2 linked regions of the Macaca fascicularis genome follow. The protein of the gene in region 1 purifies or fractionates together with the protein of each later gene. This does not show direct contact. Links are inferred from orthologs where the notes say so. Each region holds a gene or a part of one and is shown on either strand. Other genes may lie near its edges. The genes, in order: NEDD4 and LAPTM5.

Region 1 (16,099 bases):
GGAATTCTTCTAACTACACTAAAATGAAAAAGTGATGACTATGCCAATGGTCAAGAGGATATGCAGGCAAGAGAAAAAGGCTTTAATACTTTTTACCCATTGCAAATATGGATTTGCTTCACATGTCTTATGAACCACCTGTTTAGTAAAAACTGCATATTAACAAAAGCCAAATATTTTGAAAGTGAAGAAGTAAACAGTTTTTCTGTGAGTTGGCTGGAAATATAGGTAACACACTTTCCAAGGTTTTTTTCCAAAAATCTAGGCAGTAAGGTGCATAAGGCTGGTGTACAAAATAATAAATAGCTGCGAGTAGCACTAAATATATTGTAGTTTACTCAATAGTAAAGTATTTCTTTTTTCAAATTTCAGTTTTCCATCTCAAAATGCATCAAACTTTTCACACATGACACTTATCACAAATATTTCACAGTTATCATCTCAGTAGTTTAAGAAAAAACTGCCTGGCAGATACTATACAAGAGGTAAATGTTAAGGACAAAATTCACTATTTAAGTCATACAGGACTTATATCCTATTGCGTGAACTCTAAAGCCAGGCGTGGTGGTACCTGGCTTTAGGCAGGCACCTAACTCTAAGGACAGAATGAAACAACTGTGTAAATGCAACACATTATTTAAAAGTGATTGAAAATAAGTTGTCATACTATTTCTTCAAATGCTTTTTATATGATTTTCTTCAAGATCTGGGAAGAATCAGTGGCCACGTTTTAGTAGTTCCCTGGAAAATTTTAAGTCAAGATTTTGGTTATAAAACTATGGCAGTGAAAACACTATAGATCGTTATTTGTGATCTAATCAACTCCATCAAAGCCCTGTGTGTTTTCAATTGCCATCTGAAGTTTATCCCATAATTCTTCAAATGATTCATAAGGTGGCAGGTCCAGGCGATTAAAACTGGAAGAAGAGAGAGGAACTGGTTATGAAAGACACTGAAAAAGCAGGTACCACTGAAAGACACTGAAATAGCGGCAAACAGAGCAACGCTGCTATTCATGATGAGTATGTGCCACCACCACCAAAATACGTCTTTTCACCAGGGGTAGAAGTAAGATGTAGGACTGGGTTCTGGACATGGATACTCTGCATGACTCCTTGTGGAGTCCTGCCCCCACCACATCTTCCAAATGTCTGAGTTCCTCTGCCATTTCAACCTCCAAAATGGAATGTTCTAGCCCCTCTTGGGACAGCCCATCACTCAGCACTCAGTTTAGATGGATCTCTCTGATCTTCAGCTACCTGGACTTCAAGCCCGGGCTGACTTGGTAACAAAACACACGTTCGTTGGGTTAGTGTCACCAACTCCTCCTTACCCCTAATCCAACCTGCCACCGACATAACACAGAGGAGACTAGCCCTGCTGTAGCTAGACTAACAGTCAGAGGAACCTCACTCTCTGAGTGATAGGCTTCGTTCTATCAAGGTCCAAACAACTGCTTACCAGGTATGAGCTCTTGGCAGCTTTTCAGGAGTACCCCACTGTTCAACTGTAAATGACTGTGGTCCGTTTGAACCTATAAGGAAGAATTTATTTGGTTTCATTTACTCTCTACAGGGATCTTCAGGCATATGGAAACTTTTTCTAGTGTAGAACCTACACACACAGGGAACTAATCTGGTTTGTTTATTTATTTATATTTTAGAGATGGGGTATCCCTCTGTCACCCAGGCTGGAGTGCAAGGGTATGATTCAAGCTCACTATAGCCTCAAGCTCCTGCGCTCAAGTGATCCTCTTGCTTTAGCCTCCTGAGTAGTCAGGACTACAGGTGTGCACCACCACGCCTGGCTAACTTTTAAAAAAATTCACTTTGTAGAGATGGGGGTCTCACTATGTTGCCCAGGCTGGTCTTGAACTCCTGGCCACAAGCCATTCACTCTGTCACCCAGGCTGAAGTACAATGGCATGATCTCAGCTCACTGCAACCTCCGCCTCCTAGGTGCAAATGATTCTTGTGCCTCAGCCTCCCAAGTAGCTGGGATTCCAGGTGCGTGCCACCACACCCAGCTAATTTTTGTATTTTTAGTAGACACGGGGTTTCACCATGTTGGCCAGGCTGGTCTTGAACGCCTGACCTCAGGTGATCTGCCTGCTTCGGCCTCCCAAAATGTTGGGATTACAGGCATGAGCTACTGCACCTAGCCAACTTAACATACTTTTTATTGGCTATCTAATATTGTAATTTTAACATTTTGAAACAACTTATTTCTATAAATACATAAGAATTTGACTTTATATTCTAACACAAACAACTCTGGCTCTATGTGTGGCATATCTGCCCCAAATTTCAAACAGTGCATGAAATCAGTGGATGGTTATAGGGCTGGGTTACATAAAAGAGGGAAGAGAGGCCAGAGACAGAAAGGGGCATTTGTTTGCCCTGCCTTTATTTTTCACTACCAACTGGTTAAGGCAGAGAAGAGAGAGGAAGGGGAATCAGGTGAAACCACGAAAAAGAAAGAGGCTATGAAGTCCAATTAGGCAAAGAATGACTGAATTGGTCCGTGGCAAAGCTAACCACTTTTGAGTGGTTACTCTAGGTAGAGAAGTAGCAGCTGCTTGATCAGTTCTGCAAACACACATTAATGAGGCTTGGCAAGCTGACCAGATTTGCCATGAAGAAAGGGTTTAGCTATCCCATCAGATGGTCAGCTTCTATTTGCACAACAAATTCAGCTTAGCGATTTCCTAGGCAGCAGTCCCGACTTCTAATCCCCAGGACAATCCTAATCTTACTCGTTGTTCTGAGTAGGGTTCCCACTTCAGCTACATCCTTTCTAAAAGATTTATTCTTGGATTCTTGGTATCCTTAAAAGCAAGTAAATATCATTCCAATAAACAGAATATGAATCAATGTGAGAAAAGTTGCTGCAATCTACATCAGAAACGGCACTTTTAAACAAAACACACCTCCAGTTTTGTACATCAACTGAAAAATAATTTGATAGAATACACAGAATCTTACTTTACTGAAAACTGCATTAACTATTCTAAAAATCAAGAGATATGGGCACTCTTCTCCCCAGTCCCGGTGCTCCCCCCAGGAAATGAAAAATAGTAGCCTAACGAGATTCTCTACCCCTATCTTGAAAGGAAAAAAAAAAAAAAAAAGATTTCATGATCAAATAAGTTTGGGAAACAATGCTTTTGTTTTCTTCTAACAGTAAAGGTTCTACACAAGTCCTGAAGAAATCCATTTAACTTTGTTTAGTCCAGCATTTCCCTAAAGGTATTCAACTTGAATACACTTAGTGACATTCTGTGAAACTTCAAATGCTATCCTGAACTATCACATGAGAAGTAATGCTTTTTCATTTTTTTGAGACAGGGTCTCAGTCTGTCACCCAGGCTGAACTACAGTGGTGCAATCTCGGCTCACTGCAACCTCCGCCTCCCGGGTTCAAGCAATTCTCCTGCCTCAGCCTCCCGAGTAGCTGGGACTACAGGTGCACACCACCAAGCTCAGCTAATATTTGTATTTTTGGGTAGAGATGGGGTTTCACTGTGTTGGCCAGGCTCGTCTTGAACTCCTGACCTCAAGTGATCTGCCTGCCTCGGCCTCCCAAAGTGCTAGGATTACAGGTGTGAGCCACCCCTCCCGGCCAAGGTAATGCTTTTTCTGTAACTGACGCACACGGGGCATAGAATCTGAAGTTAAAGAAGGGAAAGTGACTCGTAAGTCATTTGATGTTTCCAGTTTTCCCCTTTATTATCTGATTCGAAGGTGCAAATATATTTTAGCCTACTCTAGTGTCTCTAATGATATCACTTTCAAAATCTTAATTCTTTTTAAAATTAAGCTAAATGTTAGTAAATGATGGAAGCGTGAGGATTCATCAGCCATGAAAAAGACAATAGGCATCACTCCATTTTTTTTAATGATCTATGGAAAATCCTTACCATATAGTTCAGCAAATCCATTCATAGGCACCCGAGATGTGCCAGTGACAAACTGAAGTAATCTTATTCTTTTTTCTGAATCCATCATTAAAACAGCCTGAATAAGATAAAAACATCATTTAGGGAACAGCACTGGGAAAAAGGTAAACAAATTATCCTGAAACATAAGCTATCAGAATTTAGCTAGAATAGTAACAATCCCTTACTAGATGTGGATGTTTCTTTTAGTTAAATTTTTATTTATGGGTGGGTTATAAAGTTCTTGAAAACTTTATTTGTAAGGCTACATGGCAACTTTTTAGAATGGGATTATAACCTAATGAAGTAACAAAATTTCTCTTGAGATATGACTCATGACTTTTAAAACTTATATGCTGGGCGCAGTGGCTCATGCCTATAATCCCAGCACTTTGGGAGGCTGAGGTGGGCGGATCACTTGAGGTCAGGAGTTTGAGACCAGCCTGGCCAATATGGTGAAACCCGTCTCTACTAAAAATACAAAAAAATTAACCAGGCATGGTGGTGCATGCTTGTAATCCCAACTACTCGGGAAGCTGAGGCAAGAGAATTGCTTGAACATGGGAGGCGGAGGTGGCAGTGAGCTGAGATAGCACCATTGCACTCCAGCCTGGGAGACAGAGCGAGACTCCATCTCAAAAAACACATTATATTAATATTATTGAATGGCATACACATTTCTCTATGAGACATTTTAAAAGAGCCACTCAGGAGTCCCTAGGAATACCCTGTAGGTTATTACAAGTTCTTTCAGAGTCCCTACTTTAGTAGAAAACTAAGTGCCTGTCTCAGCCTGTCATTCCACTTACTACCTTCTGAACATTTTACTTACCTAGTAATGGTTATAGACCCAGAAGGTGCATGTATACGGTACAAAATCAAAGATCATTTTTGCTGGTCTCTATATTTTTCTGTGTCAGTTAAATGTAATCCACCAGTATAGTTAATCAAGAGTTGACTTAAATATGATTCAATCTATCAAAAAGTAATTTACGAAAAGAGAAGTTTCAAATTACCTTCCAAAACCACTGTATAACCTGATGATTTGCACTGTAGCCATTTTTATACTTTGTATGTTCCCTCCAGTCATTCACATCGACATCTCCCAGTCCACACATAAGAAGCTACGTAAGAAATGTCAAATTATAAACAAGGAAAATAATGGGTTCAAAATTTTCTGTTTCAACATAAAATGTTATGTCTTACCTCTAGTTCATTTTCATCAAAAATTTTGATGAGATCCTGTGGTATTAGTTCAAAGAATCCCTAGAAAAAAGATGTATTTAAAAACCTGATGGGCAGGGCCAATGGCCTTTCCTATGCTTCAGCTTCCGGGTGCCACTGGAGGAATCCCACAGACACACAAGTTTCTACCGCTACACAATCACGGGCTCTTCACTGAGATCTCAATATTGGCCAGAAAATGTACATGTGCACAGTCTGTTCTCTCATTTATTCCTCAAAGTGGCTATTTTTAAAACTTCCTGTGGCCAGGTGCGGTGGCTCATGCCTGTAATCCCAGCACTTTGGGAGGCTGAGGTGGGCGGACTGCTTGACTCAAGGAATTTGAGACTAGCCTGGGAAACATGGTGAAACACCGTCTCCACAAAAAAATACAAAAATTAGCCAGGCATGGTGGTGTAAACCTGTAGTCCCAGCTACTGGGGAGGCTGAGGTATTCCAGTCTTGGCGACAAAGTGAGATCCTGTCTCAAAACAACAAGAACAACAACAAAAAACAAATTTGCCATCCTTCTCAAGCCTCCACATCACCCCTTCTTTACCGTAGGTAAGTGTAAGTTCTATTTGAGGGAAAACAGAGGCAATTATGCATGATGGAACTCCCTCAAGCTTCTGCATCCCTGTGTCCCAACCATCACCAACACCCATCATGGCCTCCTTCCCGCCGCAGTGGAAGACAGAAGTGCCACCTCTTCTTTCAGGCTAGGCCTGCACCTGTGCTTCACCTGCTCCGCAGGGAGGTCATCTCACTAGATCTCTTTCTCTTTATTGGCTCACTCTGTATGCATTTAAATTTGCTCAAGTCATATCTACCTTTAAAGCAAACAAACAAACAAAAAAACAAAAACAAAACTAATGACCCTCTTTTTCCCTTCACAGGCAAGTTCTTGACAGTGTTATGCACTTAGCATATCCATTCACTCACCTCCCATCTAACACTCAACCCACTGCAATCGGACTTCTATACTACAGCTTCCTTGAAATTGTTCTGGAAAAAGTCAAAGACGGCTTTGCAGCTATATCTAATAAACACATTCAATTCCTTATCATATTTGACTTCTTTGCAGTATGATATGATTAAAACCATCTTTGCTATTGAAACTCTCTCTGCTCTTGATATCTTTCTGTCTGCCTTTGTTATTTTCCTTATTTCCTTTACAGTCTCCTGTTTTTTGTTTTTTTTTTCTTTTTTCTCCCATGCCCTAACCTGTCCATTCATAAACCATCCATTCAAAACAACAGTTAAGATGCTGGTGTTCCCAGTTCTCTCTCCACATGTCAGGCCATCCACTTTCACTGCCCTTTCACATTTTCCATCGTATCAAGTTCGCAGCTTCACTATACGTAGGCAAATGAGCCCCAAATCCATACATCTCTATCCTTGAAGTCTCCCTTTCTGAATGCCATTCAAATGCACATGAAGCTCTGACCACCACCACTATCTTCATTCCCTTCCCATTCCTGTCTCAACTCCCTCACCATTCCCTTAATTCCTTACCATTTCTCACCAAGATTATGTAGCCCTTTCCCAACTCTGCTGGGAAGTCTCTGCTGCTAGTCTTGCTCTCCTCTAACTCGCTCTACATGGCACTTCCAGAATGATCTAAAACATAAATTGAATCTTGGTGTCTTACTGGTTAATAGCCTTTAATGCTACCTTCCTTCCCCCTCACTGAAATTCAGAGAAAACTCCAAACTCTACCGCTTCACACACAGGCCCTGTATAAGCTGGTCTGTTAGCTCTGCAGGCTGACTGTTTCCGTCTTGCATTCTCTCACCCAGCATACTCAACTGCCTGTGGGTAAAGCCTACCTTACTGCCAGACTTCACATACGCTGCTCCTGCTAGAACTGCATTTCCCTCTTCCCCATGGTTGGCCAATCCCTCTAGTCCTTCTTTGTCCCTTCCTTTGCCCCTCCCTGGTTTGCACTCTTCTCTGCTCACCTAGCACTTTATGCTTGCCTCTGTTCATTTCTCTCTTTACATCATACATCCCTTAAGAGCAGGACTTATGTCTTTTGGCCTCGTACAGCACCATACACATAGTACTCAATACGGAATTTATGAAAAAGTATGTGATCACACACACACACACACACACACACACACACACACACACGCACACACTCTTTAGAGACAAGGTTTCACTCTGTAGCCCAGACTGGAGTGCAGTGGTGCCATCATAGCTCATAGCTCACTGTAGCCTCGACTTCCAAGGCTCAAGTGATTCTCTAGCCTCAGCCTCCCAAGTAGCTGTGACCATACGCACATGCCATGACACCAAGCTCATTTTTTTTTTTTTTTTTGAGACTAAGTCTCGCTCCATTGTCCAGGCTGGAGTGCAGTGGCGTGATCTCAGCTCAGTGCAACCTCTGCCTCTCGGGTTCAAGCAATTCCCCTGCCTCAGCCTCCCGAGTAGCTGGGACTGCAGGTGCACGCCACCACGTCCGACTAATTTCTTTGTATTTTTAGTAGAGATGGGGTTTCACCATGTTGGCCAGACTGGTCTCAAACTCCTGACCTCAGGCAATCCACCAGAACTCGGCCTCCCAAAGTGCTGGGATTACAGGCATGAGCCACCGTGCCCAGCCTAATTTTAAATTTTTTATAGAGATAAGGTCTCCCTATATTGTCCATGCTGGTCTCAAACTCTGGGCTCAAGCAGTCCTCCCGCCTCATCCTCCTCAAGTGTTGGGATTATAGGCATAAACCACCACGCCCAGCCAGATACTTATTTAACAGAAGATTGTAAATTATCTTAAGAAATGAGTGCTCTGACAATCTGTCTACCAATTGGGGAAATTTTAAGTAACTTACTAATTTATATTCTGAATAAAATATAGCCACAAAGAAAGGCAGCTATATGTTTTCACATGTAAATATCCCCAATAAATATCTGATAAAAGAAGAAAGTAGGTCGAGTGCGGTGGCTTATGCCTATAATCCCAGCACTTTGGGAGGCCAAGGCGGGTGGATCACTTGAGGTCCGGAGTTCGAGATCAGTTTGACCAACATGGTGAAACCCTGTGTGTACTAAAAATACAAAAATTAGCTGGGCGTGGTGGCGGGCACCTGTAATCCCAGCTACTCGGGAGGCTGAGGCAGGAGAATCGCTTGAAGCTGGGAGGTACAGGTTGCAGTGAGCCGAGATCAGGCCGCTGCATTTCAATCTGGGTGACAGAGTGAGACTCTGTCTCAAAAAAAAAAAAAGAAGTAAGTCAGTCACAAAACAAAATGTCTAAGGTGATCCTATTTAGAAAAACAGACAATATGTTATACTACGCCTAAAGCACTCTCGTTCTTTTGCTGTCCTAAGGTGAAAGGAATGGAATAGGGAAAAGGCTTGGGGGAAAGGGGACCTGTCAATGTTTATTGTCTAGACTTCTTGAATGACTGAATGAAATATTTAGTTAATATAAAAATATAATTTAGAATGATTTCACAAAACAAGCCATACACTTATTTTTCTCAGAAGTGATGAGGCCCAATATTTGAAACTTATGGGTCCAGCACACCAACATGGCACATGTATACATATGTAACAAACCTGCACATTGTGCACATGTACCCTAGAACTTAAAGTATAATAATTAAAAAAAAGAAACTTATGGGTTATACTATGAAATTACGGAAGAGCAAATAAAAGAAAACGAATACCTCTTTAAAAGCAGCCATTTGCTTCTGGATTCGGTTTACAAATCGCCATTGTATTACAAGACTAAAAAGAAACAACATTTCATTTTCACATGAACCAAGACAAAATTCTGAGTCACAATTATTCTAGTTAGAAACAAAAACTAAAGGCTAGCTGAGCCCAATGCAAAGGCTGAATATGAGTGCTCGCTACTGCATTGAGATAGAGAAAAAGAACACTGAGATTCTGGCCAAGGGGACAGAGAAAGATGGTAAGTGGAGTCTTTTTGGAGTAAAGGACAAAATTATATCCCATAAAATAATTATTAGCAAAATACTTACTAAATATATTCCTTTTTGTTCTTATTGGTGACAACTATTTCTGATCCACCATTTTTCAGCTCATGTTGGTGTGTCTAAAATTAAACACAATAACTTGATATGTTATTTTACTGAGAAAAATTTTAAAAGTATACATATTGTAGTTATACAAGAAACCTGGTGTTTTAAATTAAGTCCAGTCACAAGTTAAAAGCTAAGAAAACTTAAAATATTAGTTTTACTAAAATAAATATGGAATGAGTCAAATGTTAAAGAAAGCACAAATTCTTGCTGAGAGACAGTTTTTGTTACTGGAAAATAAATGTAAAAACAGAGCCTAGGAATGTATTCAGTGTACGTATTAACATCAAAACATTTGTTTCACAATTTATGTGCCATTTTAACTGATCAAAATTAACAAACCTGTCCGAAAAGTTCTTCATCTATGATAAACCTGAGGTCCAATTCTGTTGGGTCATTTTCAAGAATCCATCTTAGGGAATTGTAATATTCACTATCCTAGATGGGAAAAATTACGTATTTAAAATTTGTACATATAACACACCTGAAATTGCAAAAAAACAATATGTAGAGGGGCTGAGTAATTGGGTAAAAGATGAGAGGTCAGATGGACATCCTTTACTTACACACATAAACAAAAATGTATGTGTGTATGTGTGTGTATTACAAAAAGAGATGGATGGTAAGGGCAAGAGTAAAAATGCACCAGTCAATCAATCAATCAAGTGGTGCCTACTGAAAAGTTCAGAATCTATGTTTATGTGGAAGCAGTGGAGGTACAGATTGTATCATCCAGTTAAAGGAATGAATACAGAAGTTTTCAGATAAAACCTAACTTTTGGCTTTGGATATCCAGGAGCACTTAGCACATTCCTCATATGCCTACGTGACTATAATGTTTTATTTTTATTTTTTAATTTAATTTTTTTTTTTTTTTTTGAGACAGGGTCTTGCTCTGTCCCTCAGGTTGGAATGCAGTGGGGTGATTGTGGCTCACTGCAGCCTCGACCTCCTTGGCTCAAGTGATTGTCCTACTTCAGCCTCCTGAGTAGCCGGGACTACAGGCATGCACCACGACACCCGGCTAATTTTTGTATTTTTTGTAGAGACAGGCTATCACCATGTTGGCCAGGCTGGTCTCAAACTCTTGACCTCAAGTTCCACATGCCTTAGCCTCCCAAAGTGCTGGGATTACAGTTGCGCACCCCTGTGTCCGGCACTGTGTGTGAAATGTTTAAGTAGCTATGAGGAGGCCATTGTTTATACCCAGCCCGAGTTAAAGAAAAATCTCTAAATAAATATAGAGGCTCAATGAACCAACTCAAATAACCGTGCAATCTTACGATTTATAAAGAAGCACACTGTTTGTGCTGTTAATATGTAATAAGAAAATAAAAAATGAACTTGGTACTAAGGAAGATGTCCTAGAATTCATGTGTACACACATCGTGTGAGGCTATTCAGCAGCACAGGAAACAACATGGCTACAGTCAGGGGTTTAATCCTTGGGCTTCTGTTTTTTTCTAGGAGCCTAACCATAATGCTTTGCCTTTCGACTGCCATTTAAAAAATATACACCATATGGTCGGGCGCAGTGGCTCACGCCTGTAATCCCAGCACTTTGGGAGGCCAAGGCGGGTGGATCATGGGGTCAAAAGATGGAGACCATCCTGGCGAACACGAAACCCCATCTCTACTGAAAATACAAAAATTAGCTGGGCGAGGTGACGCGCACCCATAGTCCCAGCTACTCGGGAGGCTGAGGCAGAGAATTGCTTGAACCTGGGAAGCGGAGGTTGCAGTGAGCCGAGATCACGCCACTGCACTCCAGCTTGGCAACACAGCGAGACTCTGTCTCAAAAAAAAAAAAAAATATATATATATATATATACACACACACACACACATGCAATATTCATCATAAAAGATCGTAATGCAAATACTGATTCCAAAGACACATAACTTGTACAACCTATTGAAGTATTTAGTGGGATGTTTACTGTTATCTATAACTTACTCTGAAATGCATGAAGAAACTAAGATAGGCTGATGGATAGACAGACAAGTATGTGATACAGTAAATCTAGAAAAAACCAATTGTGAGTAGTGGATATACAAGTGTGCGGGGTAAAATACTTCCATCTTTATTAAACGTTAGAAAATTTTCATAATAAAATGTTGAGGAAAAAGTTAATTTGTATTTTGAAACATAATATATTAATTTCCATGTCATTAAAAGCAAATTCCTCAAAATGTTCAAGTTACTTATTAAATTATACTTTGTCTAAACTATAAGTGAAAAAGACATACCACAGATTCCATATCATGAAGGGTTATTGGTTTGTGAAGCATCATCTTGTAAAATGGGCGGATGAAAAAACCTTGCAAAAAACCAAATACATTTAGGATGATTACCAAGTGAAAGACAACAGGTAATTACATTGTAAAAGTTTATACTTAATACTAACCATCCAACAGTTTGCCATGATACACTGCCATTCCAGCTACCCGACCAATAAACTTGAAGTAAGATAGGTGATCTTCATTACACAATCCAGAGTTTGGATTTATCTGTAGGGTATAATTGTCCCTGTAAAGACAACCCCATTTAAATACTTCATTTGAAACACTTGAATATGACAAATAATTATAAATAATCTTCCTCTTTTAAGAGTTGTTTACTACTGTTAGAACCACATTCCTCCACTGAATTTAATGGTTTTAAAAATAGTAATTTCTGTCAAAAAGTGGAAATAACCCAAATGTCCTTGGCAGATGAATGCATAAACAAAGTTTTGTTTGTTTGTTTTCGAGATGGAGTCTTGCTCTGTTCCCCAGGCTGGAGTGCAACGACATGGTCTCAGCTCACTGCAACCTCCGCCTCCCAGGTTCAAGTGATTTCCCTGTCTCAGCCTCCCAAGTAGCTGGGATTAGAGGTGCCCACCACCACGCCTGGTTAATTTTTGTATTTTTAGTAGAGACAGGGTTTCACTATGTTGGCCAGGCTTGTCTTGAACTCCTGGCCTTGTGATCCACTTGCCTCGGCCTCCCAAAGTGCTAGGATTACAGGCGTGAGCCACCGCGCCTGGCCTAAACAAAGCATTATATGCAAAAATAATGGAATATTATTCAGCCTTAAAAAGGAAGGACATTCTGATACATGCTACAACATGGATGAACCCTGAAGACATCATGCCAAGTGAAATGAGCTGGTCACAAAAAGACAAAGATTGAATGATTCCACTTATGTGAGGTACCCAGAGGAGTCAAATTTACAGGGACAGAAAGCAGAATGGTGGCTGCCAGGGAATGGGGAGCAAGTGCTTACTGGGTACGGAGTTTCATTTTGGGAAGATGAAAAAGTTCTAGAGTTGGATGGTGGTGATGGCAGCACAACAATAGAATGTATGTAATGACTCTAAATTGTATATTTAAAATGGTTAAAACAGTAATTTTTTTTTTTTTTGAGACGGAGTCTCGCACTGTCACCCAGGCTGGAGTGCAGTGATGCGATCTCGGCTCACTGCAAGCTCTGCCTCCCAGGTTCATGCCATTCTCCTGCCTCAGCCTCCCAAATAGCTGGGACTACAGGTGCCCACCCCCACGCCCGGCTAATTTTTTTTGTAGTTGTAGTAGAGATGGGGTTTCACTGTGTTAGCCAGGATGGTCTCGATCTCCTGACCTCATGATCCGCCCGCCTTGGCCTCCCAAAGTGCTGGGATTACAGGCAAGAGCCACCGCACCTGGCCTAAAACGGTAAATTTTATGTAATGTGTATTTCACCACAACTTTAAAAAAAGTCACTTCTGAAGCAACATTAGTTAAAATTGCCCTTTTCAGGCATGACATATATTTTCCTTGTATCATTTGACTCTTACTTTTAAAGCAGTGATTTTTCTTTTTCTGCCTATAATCATTGTAAAGGTACTTACGTAGCAGAATATTCAAACAACCCATAATAAGGGTTAAACATTTCTTTTGAGATCAGAAAGAACCATTCTCTGGCGACTCCTCCATAATCCAATCCCTTTTCACCATCAAACTCAATCCACAGTCGAGCCTTGAGGAAGTCTGCCCTCTTGACACCCATAATTCTCCGGTAAGAGTCCTCAAGAATAGTTGCTCGGCGAAGTTTCATTTCAAATTTGTTTGGAATGTCATTCTGAAAATCCAGAGGAGAGACTTACTGTTTAAATCAGTTCAACATAATCACAAACATCTCTCTCATGAAGTTATAACATTCCCTCTACACCCTGTGTCCAAGTCTCTTTTTCCTTACGTAATATACTCAGGGAAAACACAACTAGGTATATTGTCTTGGTTTCCTCTACGGTATGAGAGAGTTCCTGCATTTTCTCTAATTACTTAGTAATATAGACTTCTTTATATCTGAGGAAGCTTTTTGGTTTTTGGAGACAGCTCTGTAATCCAGGCTGGAGTGCAGTGGCGTGAACATGGCTTACTGCAGCCTTGACCTCATGGGCTCAAGTGATCCTCTTGCCTCCGCTTCCTAAGTAACTGGACCATAGGCGCGTGCCATCATGCCTGGCTAATTTTTTAAGTTTCTGAGGTCTTGCCATCTTGCCCAGGCTGGTCTCATACTCCTAAGTTCAAGCAATCCTCCCGCTTTGGCCTCCCAAAGTGCTGAGATTATAGGCATGAGTGAGCCATGGCACCCAGCCTAAAGAAGCTATTGATGGTGATGGTAATGCCCCCATGAAGGCATTTCATTAATAGTCCTTTTCATATTAAGTTCCAATGAACACCGTTCTGTGACCTGTAGGATAGCCACTGCCTGCTAGCTGTTGCCTGCCTGTCTGTTCAGGGTTTTCCCTACCTCTACTTTCCTCCCTGGAGTCTATCTTCCTTCACTCATTAACAGATGGTGACGTTTACAGACTGTGCCAGTGATATGTTTTGGCTGTGATCCTACCCAAATCTCATCTTGAATTGTAACTCCCACAATTCCCATGTGGCGTGGGAAGAACCCGGTGGGAGGTGATTGAATTATGGGGGCGGGTCTTTCCCCGCACTGTTCTCGTGATAGTGAATGGGTCTCATGAAATCTAATGGTTTCTATGCACAAGCTCTCTCTTTGCCTGCTGCCATCCACGTAAGATGTGACTTGCTCTTCCTTGCCTTCTGCCATGATTGTGAGGCCTCCCTAGCCATGTGGAACTGTAGGTCCAACAAACCTCTTTTGTAAATTGCCTGGTCTCGGGTATGTCTTTATCAGCAGCATGAAAACGGACTAATACAGCGAGGCATGGGTCCCCTGGAATGGTAGGTTAACTCATTTAACTTTAAAACAACACTATGCAAAAGCTATTCTTATTGTCTTCATTTTACATATAAAACTGAAGAAGACAACTTAAGAAAGTGTTAGCTCCTGAGTCTGTACTCTTAATTAATGGAGCTACATTGCCTCACTAATCTTTTGTACATTCTTTGCTTATGTGACAAATATACACAACTATGCTTTAGGCAGACCTTTTTGTACATTTTACAAAAGATATATCTAAATATTTTATTCCTTAGTACTTCGTGGGCAAATTTCCATGGGAAACCAGTAAGAGAAAACATGCCATCAACATTCTGTCACCTCCAAAAAAGAAGGTTAGCTCTAAGGGAAAAAAATCAATTTCATTCTCTATTTAGGGAAAATGGAAAGCCCTATAGAAACATAATAATATAAGCAGTTGATATAAGCAATATAAGCATGATATGAGCAGTTTCTTATACTGCTTATGTCACTAAAAAAATGGTAAGCTTGCAGAAAAGTAACTTTAGACTGGATACTAGGGAGCTGGTGCAGGTAAGCATTTATCAAAGGCCTACTTGGGCCAGGTGGTATTGTGGTAGGGCCAACGATGGGGAATAAAAAGAATAAAAACACAGGGTAAGATGTCGTTGCTTCCTCAAGGAGTTTCTCATCTGGTGCATATGTGAAAAACAAGTGTAAACGCTGCTAATTCTGAGACTTAAAATAGGAGGACAATTGCTGATGATAAGAGATGGAAGCAATGTTCTGCAGGGCATAAAAGACTGAGCTATTGACTTCAAATGAGGCAATCAAGAAGGCTTTGAGAGGAAGTCTTTAGACAGAGAGAAAGGGAGGGAAGGATGGAGGAACAGCATACATGAGGGGTCTGATATATTTAATACCTACAGGGTACAGAAGGAGAAGAAGAGAGAGGAAGGGAAAGAAAGCAGGGATTATAGCGAAAAAATATGACAAAGCAGTCTGGGAGCAGAGGGTGGACAGTGTGAATGCAGATGAGAAGAGAGTTTGTGAGTAGGAAAGCCACACGGTCAGATCGCTGCGTTCTCAGAAGCTGACAGGACAGGGTGTAAAGGGTGGTTTTAAGGAGGAGAAACAAGAGGTACACTGGTCAGTTAAAGATCCCTGGAATAGCTCAGTGAGAGAAGATAGAGGGACCTGTGAAGGAGCAATGGTAGTGGAAGAAGAGAGGGTTACAGGAGAAACTTGAGTGTTTGAACTGAGTAGTAGACAAGTGCATGCATTCTGAAATCTGGTCCTGCGTTCAAATCTTGACTCCACCATTCGTTAGGAGTGAGACTTTGGACAGGTTACATGTCTTTTCTAAGGATTAATTTCCTCATTCATAAAATAGGGATAATAATAATGATAGCTATCCACATGGAGTTGTTTCAAGACTTAATGGAATAATGCATTAAAAATGCTTACACAGTATCTGGCATATGGTAATTATTAGCCATCATTATTCCTAACTACAAGATGTTGAGAATAAGGAAGAGGAAAAGGTTAAAGACAGTGCATGGCTTTCAAGCACCGGTTTTTAATTTTTCTTTTTTCTTTTCTTTTTTTTTTTTTTTTTTTTTTTTTTGAGACAGAGTACTGCTCTGTCATCCAGGCTGGAGTGCAGTGGCATGATTATAGCTCAGTGCAGCTTTGAACTCCTGA
Region 2 (16,099 bases), on another chromosome or scaffold:
GACAGTGATACATCTGACTCCCTTCTGACATCCTCCTCCCAGACAACCCGGGGAAATCAGGGTGGGCAGGTGAGGTTGAGGGGACTGAGCTTCAGGGACGGGCCATAATGGTAACGATGATGGCAGAAGTGTGAGGCCATAGGACACAAGGTCAGGGTGGAGCAGCCCTGAGCGGGAGGGGCAAGGGAAGGCTGTGGCACTTGGGACCCATTTGGCAAACTGCATTGTCTGTTGGGAAGGGTTGAGGACAAGCCCGGGCATGTCTTCTTGTGCAGCCTCTGTCCTGGGCTCGCACATTTGGTAGGAGGAGCCAATGAAGTAAACAGACAGGAAAGTGTCCACACTCCGGCTGGCACACGATGGGTGCTCACTGAAGGCTGGGTTCTTTCTCTGTAACCTTCACCTCCCTGAAAATCTCAGAGGGTGGGTCTCTGCCTGTCTGCTTCTGAGATGGTGGATCCTGGGCATCAGAGAGTGTGAGAGAGTGGGCCTGTTCTTCTGCAGAAGGGACTGGTCTTTGAACCCCAGAATTGGGGGTTCTGGTGTCATCACCACCATCCACATGATCTTCCTTATCACCATCCTATCCTGATGTCCCCACTGCCGTCACCCCAATCACTGTCACCAGCATCACCAGCAGCATCTCTGATCATCACTGTCATCACCACGCCAACTCCAACAACATCCCAACAGCCACTCCCCATCTCACATGGTCACCATGGCCAGTGCCTCCCAGGTGACATCTGGTGCACTGTTTACACGGCATCCCCTCTGGCACCGCCATCCTTATTGCCCAGCCATGTTCAGTACTGACCCCATTGTCCCCACCTTCCCTGATTTCCCTCCTCCAGCCCCTGCCCCCATTCTTTTAGCTCAACCTGTTGCTTGCTCCTCAGAGCCACCAGGAAAAGAAACAAATACCCCTGCGCCCTGGCCACTTCCCCAGTGGCCAGCTTGGGGAAGCTGTGTTTGTCATTAAGAAAGAAGTGCTGCATGCAGACAGGAATAAGAACTGAAACCAAAGAGGGGCAGAAGGAAGAGGTGAAAAGCGGGAAAGGAGAGTGGGGGTGGGAACGGTGGCTGAGCATGGCTGGGACCGCAGCCTGAGCCCGGCTTGGAGGCAGGAGGACAGAGCTGATTTTGACCCTGCGACAGTTTTGGTGTGTGACCTTGGGCTGGTCGCTGTCTCTCTCTGGGCCATACTTCCCCACTGGTAACATCCTCCTCTCAGGGAAGAGACACTCCCGCACCTTCTGAGCTTCCCTGGAGAGACTGAAACACACCTGCACTGACAGGCCTGTAGCCTTGCACACGATGTCCCCTCTTTTGGAATGCTTTCTTCTCTTCTGTGTTGGAAAACTCCTACTTATCCTTCAAAGCCATGCTCGTGGGTTTCCTGTTGGTGAAACTCTCCTTAAGTTTTTTAAATAGCAATGCATTATCCCTTATCAAGGACCCCAAGCCCCATGCGTGTCCTCTGTCATGACTCTGAGCACACCATTCATGCACTGAGTTCCCTGGAGACTGAGACACCGGCACGTCAGAGTCAGTGGCTTGTCTAGACAGAGTTTGGAGGTGGTGGGTGCTCAGCGGGTGTTTACTGAGAGTCAGTGAAAGCCCAGAGGTAGCAAAAACCACCACCCAACTGTGCTTGCTTGTGGCGCACCCGCTGTGTGCCTGGCTCTGTGCACTGCATGATGCCATTTGACCTCAGCAATCCTGTGAGGCAGGTCAGTGATTAACCCCATTCCTCAGATGAGGAGCCGAGGCCCAGAGAGGTTAGTGGCTGGCTCAAGGGTGCAGAGATCAGCTGGGGCCTGGGGCCATCTGACTCCAGCACCCCAACTCTTATCTTCATGATCTCACCAGCATAGAATGAAGGGACAGTGGGTTAAAAGATGCTGTAATGGGGGAACAGGTGGGTGAGGGCATGCTATCTGCCTGGGCATTGTTGGAGGAGAGAAGCCTTGTGCCTGTCGTGGGAAGACTTGTGTTCCAAGGTCACAGCCCAGCTGGGCTCTCAGAGCTTAGGGAGAAGCCAGCGCTATGTTCAGGTGGAAACCAGGGGCATGAAGGGAAAGCAAGGGCTGGGGGCTTGGAAATTTTTTTTTTCTTTTTTTTGAGAGGGAGTCTTGCTCTGTTGCCCAGGCTGGAGTGCAGTGGTGCGATCTTGGCTCACTGCAAGCTCCGCCTTCCGGGTTCACGCCATTCTCCTGCCTCAGCCTCCTGAGTAGCTGGGACTACAGGCGCCCGCCACCTCGCCCGGCTAGTTTTTTGTATTTTTTTGTAGAGACGGGATTTCACCTTGTTAGCCAGGATGGTCTCGATCTCCTGACCTCGTGATCCGCCCGTCTCGGCCTCCCAAAGTGCTGGGGTTACAGGCCTGAGCCACCGTGCCTGGCCAGCTTGGAAATTTGGACTCTTTGCATACTCTGTAGGTCGTCCAGGTACTTTCCAGGAATTACCAATAGCTGTTGGTTAGGGACATGGGTGGGGCAGTGAGGGCCTTCTGAGGGGTAGGGTGCTGGCCCTGGGGTGGCTGGGGGTGGAGGACTGTGGGCAGCCTGGGTGAGATGTCCTGCAGTGTGTAGGAGCTCCACCCCACTGACCCTCCTGCGCTCTGTCATCCCCATGGCCCCAGGGGAAAATGAGGGTCTCTTCTCATTGACCAAAGGCGAACACTGAGGCCGGGGAGAAGCCAGAACCTGGCCCGGGCCACACAGCAGTGAGGCAGTGGCGGAGGCCTCCTGCTCCCCAGCTCTGGTCTCCTGAGCTCTGAGGGGCTGGGGCCTGGCTGCCAGGGAAGAGTGGGCAGATGGCTGGAGAGATTCTGGAGTCCCAGGGGAGCCAGCCCAGCCTTGTGGGGAGCCCCGGACCCCAGGAGAGAGGCAACAGGGTTCACACCCCAGCCGGGCCACGTGACACAGGACATGAGTTCTGTCTCAGCCTCCATTTCCTCATCTGTAAAACAGGAAAATGTTGCCTCTTTTGTAAAGTTTTGGGAGATTGCAGTGCAAGCCTCTGTGTGCGGGTCTGAGCATACAGTAGCTGCTGAATAAATGTGAGTTCTTCTCCATTCTATGTCCTAGAGAGCAGCATGGGCGCCTGGAGCCGAGCTTCCTCCCTTTCTACCGGGTCAGGGACTGGCATCTTCGTGGAAGGTCGGGGCCCCGCAGAGTCTGAGTCAGGCTCTGAGGTTGCCTCGCTCCGTGACCGTGGGCCGGTCCCTGCTCTCTACGAGCCTCGTGGGCCATCCGGCAATAGGGACAAAGTCCTCCCCCGTCCCCTGCCTCAGGGTTGTTGAGAAGGTGAAATAGGGGGAGGGTGACCTGGGTTTTAAGTGCACGTGGTTTTCACAAAAGTAGAAATACCTCTGGTGTCTGGTGCTCAGGCTGAGGGGAGGGAGGGGGACTACAGAGGGAGAGGGGATGGGGGCACCTCTCTGCCTCCACTGAGGCACAGGGAAGGGTCAGGCCTCAGGCAGAGCTGGGTGGCTGGGAGATGCTGGGCAGTGGAGGGAATTGGCCAAGATTTGAACCTTAACCCTACATATGACCAGCTGGGAGGCCTTGGGCAAGGCCCTGGACCTCCCTGAGCTGCACTTTCTTCATCTGTGAAATGAGAGTGAAAGTATTAATAATCCCTCTGCTGAGTAGAGGGGAAGATCACGTGGCGTGGGGTTAGGCTATACAAATGTCCCCTTCTTCCCCTGGGGTGGTTGGAGGGGTTGCAGGGCAGTGAGGGATGCTTGGAGGAGAACAGAGGAGTTGAGAGGGGAGTTGAGGATTAGTAGAGGTCTCTAAAGTCGGGTAATGTTCAGGGTGACCTCATGGCCTCAGGATGACAATATTAAAATTCTAAATTTTTCAATCATACAATTTTTTAATTTCTGGAAATTTTTTAGTAGCTGTTTTATGATGTTCATGATAAACTAGGACAGTAACACATTCATGTAATTTAGAAAGAAAGGAAGATAGAGGCGTGTGTTCAGAAGGTTTTACTGACATAGGTGCATGATGAAAACATCGAAGTCCTCCCCAGGGTTCAGGCTAGCAGGGCTCTGAGGCATTTTGGGGGTCAGGGGAATGGGAAGGCATCAGAATAGCACTGGGAGACTTGGGATCCCCCACTCAACTTGCTGTGTGTCCTTGGGCAAGCCACCTAATCTCTCTGAGTTTATAAAACAAGCAGAGGGAGCTTATAAAACAAGTAGAGGTAGGCTCCTTCTAGCAAGGGGAGGTTGAGATGATCTGATTCTAGGCTTTGTTCCAGATCTCAGATACTCCTGGAATCTTGACACTTTGAAAGTCTTCTCGTTTCACAGCTGGTTGATGCTCATGGTCCTTCCCTAAGCCCAGCTGTGACTCATCTGTGATCTGCTTACATACTCCCAGGAACGGGGAGCTCACCACTTCACAGGACACCCCGTTCTGTGCTGGATGGAGCTGTCATCTGCCTCCCTTTCTCTTTCTCTCGTTCAAGGTGAAACTGAGAGGAGAGGGGCTGCGGCTTGGCCTTTAGGGACTGAGGAAGGAGTTTTTCTCTCAGGGCTGTTTCCTCTGAGTGTTAGCCATAGCCCTCACCACACCTGCCTTCTGCTCAGGGTGCTCTCGACTTTCATGATGAGACAAAGCCTTTCCAGCTCACTCTCCAGCAGCTAGAGGGGGCAGTTAGAGCATGCACCATGCTCCTGGTACTACTGCCCAACCACGTAAGCTTGCCCCAGCCAAAAGCAGATTCTGTTTGCTGGGCACCCCCTGCCAGTCCCTGAGCTCAGGGTTTTGTAAGTATAATGCAATTTAATCTTCACTGAATCCAGCGATTGCAGTTTTCCAGATGAGGCAACTCAGAGAGGTTAAGAGACTTGCCCAAGGTCACACAGTGATCTGGGTTCAAATCCCTCTTGATCTGGAGCCCAGCTCTTCATCACTCTTCTGTTCAGTCCCTTTCCACGCCCATAAACAGGATGTAATGTGGCAGGAAGACAAGTTGAGACCTGTGTCTGAGCTAAAAAAAAAAACAAAAAACAAACCCACACAGTCAGCAAGGGGGAAACAGATGGTGGGTAGCTGGTTGCCTGTCAGCTGAGCATAAGTTACCAGTGCAGGGCTGCCTAGAAAGCCAATGTAAACTTAGGGCCATATTAATAGAGATAGGGCACCCACTAGAAGGGAGGGGAGAGTCTTCTTGTTCTTTATATGGGCAGAGGAGAACTGCATGTGTGTCGTAGGGGAAGGGTGGAGGGCTTGCTGCAAGGACATGGACACACGTAAGGTTGTGAGTTCCCCATGGCTGGAAGCACTTCAGCAGAGGCTGCATGGCACAGGATTCCTGCACTGGCTGGTGGAAGGCATGGACAAAGTGATCTCCAAGGTTCTTTCAAACTGCAGTTTTGTGGCTGAATTTCAGTGGTTTCTAGGTCCACCCCAACACTCTGGCCTATCAGATTCGCCCCTTCCCCATCATTCTTAGCAACGGTCCTCTGAGAGCGTGGGGTTCATTTGTTCATTCATTCATTCATTCATTCATTCAACAAATACAACAGCTAGGGGGATGAACAAAGACACACACAAGCTTTCCCTGCCTGGAACCTACAGTCGAGTGGGGATAACGGTAATAATAATAGCACAGATGGAGTGCTTACTATCTGCCAGGTACTTTAAGTGAATTATCCCATCTGGCTCCACCACAATCCTGTGAGGAAGATGTTATTATTCCCTGAGGGGCCATGGGAGACAGGGATTCAGGGTTAGATGCTCTCCAGGGCCCTCCTGGGCCTGTGTTGATGATTCCGGGAACCTGAAGCTCTATGATGCTCTCTGATCCCCAGAGCCTGTTGTTAGAGAAGGGGGTGCAGTGGAGGGGCCTTCAACTTCTACCCCCCACCCCACCCCTTTAAGCCTGACCTTCAGTAGTAACAGTTACCACTCTTACTGAGAGCCGGGCCCAAGGGCTCTCCTGGGATAGTCTCATTTACTTCTCACGGCAGCCTCCTAAGGAAGTTACTAGTATTATCCCCATCTTGCAGATGGGCAAACCAAGGCATATAGAAGTCAAGTAGCTTGTCCAGGGTCACACAGCTGGAGAGAGGAAGACCCAGGATTCTGAGCATGGGCTTTCTATGTAAAGGCCACTCTTTTGTCTGGGATGCCCTACTGACCTGGCATGCCATCCACTCCAGGATCCTCACTACTGGCTTCCCTGCTGTACACCACTAAGGTGGGAAGAGCTGGTCGGGGGGCCGTGATGCAGGCTCAGCTGACTGACGCTTTGCTCTGCCTCCAGATCATGAGCGTCTTGTTGTTCATCGAGCACTCCATAGAGGTGGCCCATGGCAAGGCGTCCTGCAAGCTCTCGAAGATGGGCTACCTCAGGATCGGTAGGTCCAGGGGACGCCGGTGGAGTGGCGGCGGGAGGAGGACAGGGAGGGCCCTGGCTGGGGATAGCCAGGCTGGGGTTGGAGGCCCTGTCACCTCTCCATGGACGATGGATGACCTCTGGCAAGTGTCTTCCTTTCTTGGGGCCTCGGCTGTTTCATCTGCAAATGGGGATGTTCCACCTGACCCCACCCACATATGCAGGTGGTGAGAGCAGATGGAATGGCACTTTGCAAACCCCCACCAGCTGGTAAAGGTGACAGCCTCACTCTTCTGCTTAAAGCTGTCAGTGGCTGCTCATCACACTAGAATAAAATGGAAACTCCTCACCATGGGACCCAGCCCCTGCCCACTTCTCTGACAGCATCTCCCTGCAATTCTTCAGCCCACACCTTGCTTCAGCCACACTGACCTCAGCAACCTTGTCCCTGTCTCAGGCCGACTCCTCATTGCTCTCAGGCCACTCCCCAGGGATGCCTTCCTCGGCCTCACCCTGGCTGAAGTGGACCCCAGCCTGCACCTCCAGCCCAACACCCTCTGTCGCATCCACCTTGTGCTACGCGTGATGTTCTGCTTTTGTCGTTGTACCCACTCCAGACTGAGGACTGCGTGAGGGCAGGGCCTGGGCTTTCCTGTGCACCCTCGTGTCCCCAAACCAGTGGTTCCTGAAGTGTCTTCCTGGGAGCCTGGCTGGGTGCCGGGGGTACCCCTGAGCGCCTCACTGCTCTCCTTGCCTTTCAGCCGACCTGATCTCCAGCTTCATGCTCATCGCCATGCTCTTCGTCATCAGCCTGAGCCTGCTGATCGGTGTGGTCAAGGTGAGGGCTCGGGAGCCCCGCTGCCCCTGCCCCTTCCTGTTATTCACACCCGCTGATGGGCAGTGCTGGGTGCCGAGACGGGGGGGAGGCGGGTGTGTTCGGAGGTCCCACCTGCATGCTGGAGATCTTCACATTTACCTTTTGGCGAACCATGTTTCTCCCTGAGATTCCCTGGGCTGGTGACCTCGGTTCCCTGGTAACATGAGCCTCCATGGGGCCGGGCCTGGTGGGCCATGCTGGTCACCGACATTTCGGTGAGAACTAGCTGATGACCCACATCCTTTTAAATGGCAGGTGGAAGCAGGGAATTTGGAGAGTGAGAAGAGGAAGTGTTGTTTCTGGGGGTGAGGGAGGGGAGAAAGCACTGGATTTTGTAATGGATGAGAGGAGCCGAAGCAGGAGGAACGTAGGATGCATGCAGCTCTATCTGTGCAGTGACAGGTGCCAGCACCCTGAGGGGGACCTACGCCCTGGAAGGCCCCCAGAGAGCTCATGATTTAACTGGGGAAGATGGGCCCTCAGAGAGACAGGGACAGTCTAGTGTGACAACGAGGGGCTCCTGGGCCCGAGGCAAATCTGGTGGGAGGATTGAGATGGGCTGCAGCTCAACCCCCTGCAGAAGAGGAAGCCGCTGTCCCTTGGTCCCCAGAAAGGCAGGAAGCCAGGGCCTCATCACATGGCCATGAGAGTAGGATCCAGAAAGAGAGTCCTTCCTGAGCAGACAGGGGCCTGGCACTTGCAGGGCCGGAGGAGTGAGGTGATGATTTGGTGCTGGTTTGGAATGCACCCACCCTGCCTAAAATGCCAACACCCTCTCCCCTTGCTAACATCCACTGTGTCTTGGAACCCATGTTCCCCGGGGAGGCCGTTTGCATTGTGCAGGGTGGCTCTGGGTGCTTGTGCAGAAACTCAAATGGTTCAGCTAGGGAAATGGAGAAATGGAGCAAGTGGTCCTTGACTCTGAGATCAGTCAAGGTTGTTCTGGTTGCCTCCTGAGTGATTTTAAATGACCACATGAGACACCAGGAAACCCCTGTTTCCGTGATTTTGTCCCCAGCTGTGAGAGCATATGAATGAATACTGGTCACGGTGGTCACTTGCTTTCAATTGAAGGAGAGGGACTTCAGCCTCTTCCTGGCAGGGCCCCTTACTGTGACTTTGGACCCCTGGGAGTGGCCCGCGGAGGGAGGTCCAACTGTATGTGGGGTGGTGGTGGGGGAGATGGAGGGGGTGGGGGGCCAGGGCTCTCTGCTGCCTCTGGGCCTTCGCTCATGTCGGTCCTTCTGCCTCCAGTGCCCCACCCCTCCCTCCTGCTCGCTCCTAGTCTCCTTCCCCGATCTAGCCCTGGTGTCCCCAACTCCAGCAAGTCCTCTCCGATCCCCTCTCCTCTGTAAAAAGTGCACAAAGCCCTTCCTTGCTGGGTTCTTGTGAGCAAATTGAGTCAAATCCTGCTCTTTGAGCCCTGATAGATGGGGACGGTTCCCTTACGTCTCCTGGGACACCAAGACTCCTCTCATTCAGGGCCTGGGTTTTGTCCACTCCCTGTCCCCAGAGTGTCACTCAGAGGAAGGTGACCTCAACTGAGGAGGGCAGGGAAGATTTGGGAGAGGGTGGGCAGGGGATGCATGAGGACATCAGGCTGGGTGGGGGAGTGTTGGCTGCATGCAGGGGACACTTGATGGTGTTGGGCCTACCTTTCAGAACCGGGAGAAGTACCTGCTGCCCTTCCTGTCCCTGCAAATCATGGACTATCTCCTGTGCCTGCTCACCCTGCTGGGCTCCTACATTGAGCTGCCTGCCTACCTCAAGTTGGCCTCCCGGAGCCGTGCTGTGAGTACCCAGCCCCCACCTCTCACTGGACAGCAGACCCCAGGCCTGGCATGGGAGATGGGAGGGGGCCAGACACGGGCCCTGGGCTCAGGCTGGGGAGGGTAGGAGCCCTCTTCCTGGCTGGGGTCTTGACCCAGTCTCTGAGTCCCTCCACATTGCCCCAAGTTTCTTCCTCTGTGGAATGTACCTGCAATCACATCTCACCAGCCTGCTTTATGAAGGTTAAATGAGGAACACGCACACTGGGGGGTGTAGCCCATGGTCAGCATTTGGTCAGTGCCGCTGGGAGTGAATTGACACCTGAGGAAAGGGCACGTGTGCTTTCAGGCCCCCAGCCCCCAGTGTTATTCCAAGTTGAAGAAAGGAAGAGAAGGATGATTCCTGCCAGTGAGTGTCCACTGTGGAGTGGCTTGAGGGCTGCTACCAGTCAAGGACACAGTCACCCAAAGTTGCTTTTCTCACTTTCCCCAACTGTTGTCCTTGAAGAGACCGAGGGACTACATCGTGAAAGGGCCCTGGCCTAGGAGTCTGGAGACCCTGGTTCTAGTCCCAGGTTTGCCACCAGCTCTTGGTATGAACATCTGTGTGTTCACGTCTCTCTGTGCACAGGGGATGAGTCGATGATGTCTGTAGCTGAGATGCTCTCTCAAGTGAGGGCATATTATGTGCTGCTCAGTAACTGGGACTTTAATTGCCGCTCCTTATTCTTCCTCCTTGTATTTGTCCTCCCCAGAGCCCCTCCAAGTTCCCCCTGATGACGCTGCAGCTGCTGGACTTCTGCCTGAGCATCCTGACCCTCTGCAGCTCCTACATGGAAGTGCCCACCTATCTCAACTTCAAGTCCATGAACCACATGGTGAGTCTGGGGCAGTGGTCCATGCCCATTTGTTGGCTGTGTGGCCTTGAACAAGTTACTTCATGTCTCTGTGTGTCTGTGGTTTAGGCCAGGTTCCCTGGAGCTGGAACCTGGGAGGAAGATTCTTGTGTTGGTGATGTATTGAGGGAGCCCTCTCAGGAGGAAACTTGTAAGGAGTGAGGAAGGCAGGTTTGAGAAAAGGAGGAAACCAAGCAAAGACACGACTATAGGAGCAGCCCTGCATGATCCCAGAGAGGGCCTTGGTGTGTGAATTGCAACACAGACATAATATCCGTTTTTATTGCTGTCTAATGAATTATTTCTAAACACTATGGCTTAGAGCAATAAACATTTATTATTTCACACAGTTTCTGAGGATCAGGAGCTTGGGAGTGGCTTAGCTGGGTTCTTCTGACCCAGGGACTCTGGTGGGCTGCACCCAAGATGGTCCCTGGGCCTGTGGACAACTGAGGGCTTGACTGGATCTGAAGGATGCACTCCCAGTGGCTCACTCACAGGATGTGGGCTCTTTGTCTAATTCCTCATCGTGTGGACTTGTAGTAGTGATGCTTGAGTGCTCTCCTGACATGGCTGCTGGCTTCCCCTGCGGGAGCGATGTAAGAGACAAGCAAGGAGGAAAGGCAGTGTCTTTTACGACTTCCATCACTTCTGTTACACTCTGTTAGTTAGAAGTGAGTTGCTAAGTCCAGCCCACACTCATGGGGACAGGAAATAAACACTACCTTTAGAAGGGAGGAGTCTCAAAGAATGTGTGGTAATATTTGCAAATGACCGCAGAGGCAGTCTCACCTAGGGCGAGTTCCTCTGCATCAGTCATTGGTTTCAAGCTGCCCCTAGAGGAGCGAATGTAACCTCCCGGGTACTAGTGGATTAGGTGGTCCCTATCAGCCAAAATGATCTTCTAGAGAAGGGCATAGGTGTGGCCCATGGGCAGCTGACACCTGCCAGTTGGGGATGGGCAGGTGCACCAGCCTGGGACGCGGATCTGGAGGTAGTAGCCACTTGGCTTTTCTTGGTTTGCCCGTCAGTGGGATGGGGCTGAGGGTAGCACCTGCTTCCTAAGGCTGCTGTGGCGGTCGACCAAGGTGACGGCTGTGCCACACTGTGCTCCTGTGTGTGTGGAGGGTGGGATCATTAGTCCTGGATGTGTGGGTGCTGTTGGAATTCCTTATGTCCAGAGACATTGATGTGGCTCCCAAATCTGTTGCAGAATTACCTCCCCAGCCAGGAGGATATGCCGTATAACCAGTTCATCAAGATGATGATCATCTTTTCCATCGCCTTCATCACTGTCCTTATCTTCAAGGTGAGTGGACCCCTGCCCTGTGGCTCTGGGAGGGGTGGTGAGGCGTGCTGGGCCCAGGCCTGCCCGTGCCAAGCTGTTAGAAGGCAGGGACACGTGTCCTCCATGCCTCCTCTCCTGCTTTTAGCTCCTTTCTCTTGCTATCCCATGCCAGCTCCTCTGACTTTACTTGGGATCTTCCGAGACAGCCCGTTTAGGGGATGTGAATCCATGAAGGCCACCTGCGTTCGGATGTCTAATTCCAGCTGTCCGGAATTAGATTTGGACTGGCCTGCGTTTGAATCCCAGCCCCACTGTCATTAGCTGTGTGCTTGGTCTTCAGCAAGTCACTTCTCTCTGGGCCTCAGGGGCATGAGTCTTACTTTGCCTATGTTACAGTTTTGTGTAATTCAGGCATCCACATGTGCCTGAGATCATGTTAATAGAGGTTTGTTGATGAGAAGGAGGGAGGGGAATGGTCTCATTCTTCTCTGGGGTGGTCAGGCCCAGGGATAGGGTCCAGCTTCAGGACCCAGGTCTGAGTGATGGTGAAGGACCAGAGTGTGTTCACAGCAGTGCAACCAGCAATGTGAAGAGACAAGAAAACATACCATCTTAGGAAGTCAAAAACCCCCCCACAAAACCCAACGAAGACCTGAGTGCTATTCTGCATGGAAAATAGAGGACTCAAGGGGGACACGACTGCTGTTTCTTAACACCTGAAGAACTCTCGTGGGGAATTTTGTGGGATCCTAGAGGCCACAATGGGGGCCTGTGGCCTGAAGCCACAGGGATGCTGATGACCACAGAACAGAAGGAAGGGCTTTTAAGAAGTGTTCTTTTCTGATCATAAAAGTAACATAGGTCATTGTAGAAATTAAAAAACTACAGGTGAGCTGGGTGCGATGGCTCACACCTGTAATCTCAGTGCTTTGAGAGGCCAAGTTGGGAGGATTGCTTGAGACCAGGAGTTCAAAACCAACCTGGGCAACATAGCAAGATTCTGTCTCTACAAAACATTAAAAAAAAAAATTAGACGCATGTGGTGGCACGTGCCTGTAGTCCCAGCTACTAGGGAGGCTGAGGCAGAAGGATTGCTTGAGCCTGGGAAGTAGAGGCTGCAGTGGGCCATAATCGTGCCACTGTACTCCAGCCTGGGCGACAGAGTGAGAATCTCCCTCTCAAACAAAAAACAAAAAACTCCAGATAAGTAGAAAGAAGACAAGCACTCCACCATCCCCACCCCACACAGAGAACATCACTGCTAACTTGGGGCATTTCCCCCCAGCCTTTCTGTGCTGGTGGGTGGGCGTCTGCGGACTCCAGCTCCTGCTTCCATCTGAGGCCCTGGGCAGTCTCTGCCGTCACCTAATGCCAATCTAGAAACAGAACCTTGCCCCTTTTAACATCTTCTCCAAGGACTGACCTAGCACAAAAGCACTAGTGAGTGTGCAGTGAGAACGCTCCAAAGGCTTCATGGGGGAAGTCAGTGTGGGGTTTCCACGGCACTCTCTACTGCAGGACCCCTCCCCAGATCCCACCACACAGCTCCGTCCCCCAGCTCCCCTTCTGTTTTTGATCTTCCAGAATGAGGGGTTTCCCTCTTTGACCCTCATTCTGCCTTGCTGGCCCCCTCCACCGACTTGATTTTCCCTGGGCCTTCATGCCTCATTCTTTGTCACTCAGTACCTCCACATGTCTCCTTGCCCCACCTATGTGCCCAACCAGGGAATCCATCAAACAAGACCTTCCAGTATACAGGACCCTCTCCTCCTGCTCAGGGGGCATCCTGGGGGTTTTCTGTTGTTTCTTGAGCTCGCCCCTTGGGATTGTACGCCCCACTCTGGAAAGCTTCTGCCCAATTCTTACATCAACTTGCATCAGCTGATGGATATATACCAATTGTTCCTCCTTTATAAACATGGACCAATACTGCACATGCTGTTTTGTAATCTGCTTTAGAAAACAACATATCAGAAGCAATTTTGAAGAAAACATGTCCCACCATCAGCTCTGTTTCCAGATGGCCAGGGCTGTCTCGGGAGGTAGTGAGCTCCCGGTCAGTGTGGGCAGTCAAGCAGGAGCTGTGGGTCTATTGCCGGGGAAATTGGAGGGTGGGCCAGAAGCCACCAAAATCCGCTTGCTATGTGGTGTCTATGGGGCAATGAAAAGGGCAGTACCTGGAATATTCTGGACTGGCTGGTGAGGAACAGAATGAGAGGTCTGAGCAGGAGCGGCTGGATGCTGGCTTCTGGGGAGAGTGGTGGCTCCTGCCTGGCATACGTCCTAGGCCTGCTGGAGTGTGAGAAGGACGCTCAGCAGAGCACAGCCTGACCTGGGCCTTTTTCCAGGTCTACATGTTCAAGTGTGTGTGGCGGTGCTACAGATTCATCAAGTGCTTGAACTCGATTGAGGAGAGGAGCAACTCCAAGATGTTCCAGAAGGTGAGTTTGGCTGCAGGTGGGTGCCAGCCTTGCCATTCACTGCCTGTGCCATTTGGGTCGAGTCTCCTTCCCTCTCTGGACCTTGGTTTCTCTGTTTGTAAGACGAGGGTTGGAACAGAAGAAATGTGGTCTCTTTCAGTTCTGGTAGTCTAAGATTCATTCACTCACTCATTCACTCACTCATTCATTTATTCAGTATTTACTACCTCTCACTCTTTGCTAGTCTCATATCAATCCCAGGGGGCGCAGAGAAAACTAAGATGCCACCTCTGCCTTAGAGGAGTGTATAGTTCAGACACATAGATACAATTACAACTTGGTGTGAAGCACAGGGACAGTAAGCACAGAGGAAAGACCTGGCCTCTTTTTGGATATCAGGGAAGGCTTCCTGGAGGAGGTGACAGTTGACTGGTCTTGGAGGGACAATGGATACGAGATAGCTGGGAAAGGAGAAGGAGGCTTTCGGGGAAGAGAGGATGGGGTGTACTTAGAAGTAGCTTATTGGAAAGTGATGGTTTAAATTCCTGGTAACTTACTTTCCTCCCCGGTAAGGTGGAGATTGTATTAGTTAAGGCACTTTTGGTTGCAAGTGGCAAAAACCCAACTCAATCTGACTTAAGGAATTTACTAGCTCATAGAACTTAGCAGCCAAATGTAGGTCTGGCTTGGGCCTGGCTGAATTACGACATCAGGATACGATCTCATCCTCTCCATCTCTCGACTCTACTTTCCTTGATGTTGGCTTCATTTTCAGGAAGCCCGTCCCTTGTGGTGGCAAAATGACTGCCAAAACCCCTAGGCGATATCCCACCCTCTCAGTAATCCCAACAGAAAAAGAAGGTCCCAGTAGTATGTCTGATTGGACCAACTTGGGCCACGTGCCTATCCCCAAACCAAGGACGATAGCCAGGAGGATGGAATTCTACTTTGAGTGGCCAAGTCCAGCCACCCCGCTGGATCTGAGGGATGGGACGAGTTCTTTTGGAGGTATATGGACAGAGAATGTTTTCCCAAGGAAAATGGTGCACTGTATTCAAAATAAGGGGGACTTGATGCTGAATAGGCAAAGGCAAGTATGTCCACTACAGGGCTGGGGACTGCACCTATCTCATGCAGGCAGTGTCTAGCACATAGCAAACATCCAAGACCTGCCAGTCATTATCATCATCATCATCAGCAGCAGCACCAGCATCATTTTGCCAGAGGTGGGGGTTTGGGTCCCATGACCCCGGGTTGGAATTGCAGGTCGTTTTTGATCATACTCAACCCTCATCTCTGTGTCTCTCCCAGGTGGTCCTTCCGTCCTACGAGGAAGCCCTGTCTTTGCCATCGAAGACCCCAGAGGGCGACCCAGCACCACCCCCATACTCAGAAGTGTGACCCTCGCCTGGCCCCAGCCCCAGTGCTGGGAGGGGTGGAGCTGCCTCATAATTTGCTTTTTTGCTTTGGTGGCCCCTGCAGCCTGGGTGGACCCTCCTGCCCCCCCCCTCGGCAGGACAATCTGCTTGTGTCTCCCTCGCTGGCCTGCTCCTCCTGCAGGGCCTGTGAGCTGCTCACAATTGGGTCAACGCTTTAGGCTGAATCACTCCTCAGGTCTCTCAAAAATTCAGCCCAACAATGCTTGGTTTATGTCAATCAGCTCCGACACTTGTTTAGACCATCGGTCATTCTAAAGTTGGTGAGTTTGTTAAGCAACTATCGACTTGATCAGTTCAGCCAAGCAACTGACGCATCAAAAACCCACTTGTCAGTTCAGTAACATAATTTGGTCAAAACAACAGTCTATTGCATTGATTTATAAATAGTTGTCACTTCACATAGCAATTTAATCAAGTAGTCATCAATTAGCTACCCCCATATATAAATATATATGTAATCAATTTCTTCAACTAGCTTGCTTAAATGATAATCAGTTAGCCAACCATGAGTCGTTTAGAATAGTGATAAATAGAATACATAGAATAGTGACGAAATTCAATTTAAAAAACCAAGTTAGCCTCCAAACCATTTTATTCAAATGAACCCATCAACTGGATGCCAACTCTGGTGAATGTAGGACCTCTGAGTGACTGTATAATTGTTAATTCAAATGAGATTAATTTAAACAGTTGACAGACTGTCATTCAATAATTAGCTCCAGGAAATAACAGTTATTTCATCATAAAACCGTCTCTTCAAACACACAATTGTTCTGCGGAAGAGTTGTCATCAACAGTCCAATGCTCACCTATTCAGTTGCTCTGTGGTCAGTGTGGCTGCATAGTGGTTGATTCCATGAAAGGAGTCAGCTCAATCACAGTCATTTTAGTGACGAGCTGCCAGTCCATTCCCAGGCCAGGCCGTTGCTGGCCATCCATTCAGTCGATTCAGTCATAGACGAGTCAGTTCTGCCTGAGGCTTGTGATCAAGCAAAAATTCAGCCCTGAAGTCGGGCACATCTGTTCGTTGGACTAAACCCACCGGTTAGTTCA

The links.
Region 2: the proteins of NEDD4 (region 1) and LAPTM5 purify together in Homo sapiens (affinity purification with western blotting; 3 studies listed by BioGRID and IntAct, with this or other methods). This does not show direct contact. The link is inferred for Macaca fascicularis from reciprocal best matches to the Homo sapiens genes NEDD4 and LAPTM5.

The regions. Positions count from the first base shown.
Region 1 is NC_088381.1:32,284,201-32,300,299, forward strand, and holds part of NEDD4 (E3 ubiquitin-protein ligase NEDD4), read right to left. Parts: intron 13,316-16,099; coding exon 13,086-13,315; intron 11,744-13,085; coding exon 11,622-11,743; intron 11,535-11,621; coding exon 11,464-11,534; intron 9,652-11,463; coding exon 9,556-9,651; intron 9,228-9,555; coding exon 9,154-9,227; intron 8,897-9,153; coding exon 8,836-8,896; intron 5,204-8,835; coding exon 5,144-5,203; intron 5,062-5,143; coding exon 4,954-5,061; intron 4,017-4,953; coding exon 3,920-4,016; intron 1,535-3,919; coding exon 1,462-1,534; intron 918-1,461; coding exon 815-917; 3' UTR 1-814. UniProt on the Homo sapiens protein: E3 ubiquitin-protein ligase which accepts ubiquitin from an E2 ubiquitin-conjugating enzyme in the form of a thioester and then directly transfers the ubiquitin to targeted substrates. Specifically ubiquitinates 'Lys-63' in target proteins.
Region 2 is NC_088375.1:204,269,285-204,285,383, forward strand, and holds part of LAPTM5 (lysosomal-associated transmembrane protein 5), read left to right. Parts: intron 1-6,285; coding exon 6,286-6,379; intron 6,380-7,118; coding exon 7,119-7,195; intron 7,196-8,896; coding exon 8,897-9,025; intron 9,026-9,758; coding exon 9,759-9,881; intron 9,882-11,112; coding exon 11,113-11,208; intron 11,209-13,535; coding exon 13,536-13,628; intron 13,629-14,918; coding exon 14,919-15,008; 3' UTR 15,009-16,099. UniProt on the Homo sapiens protein: May have a special functional role during embryogenesis and in adult hematopoietic cells.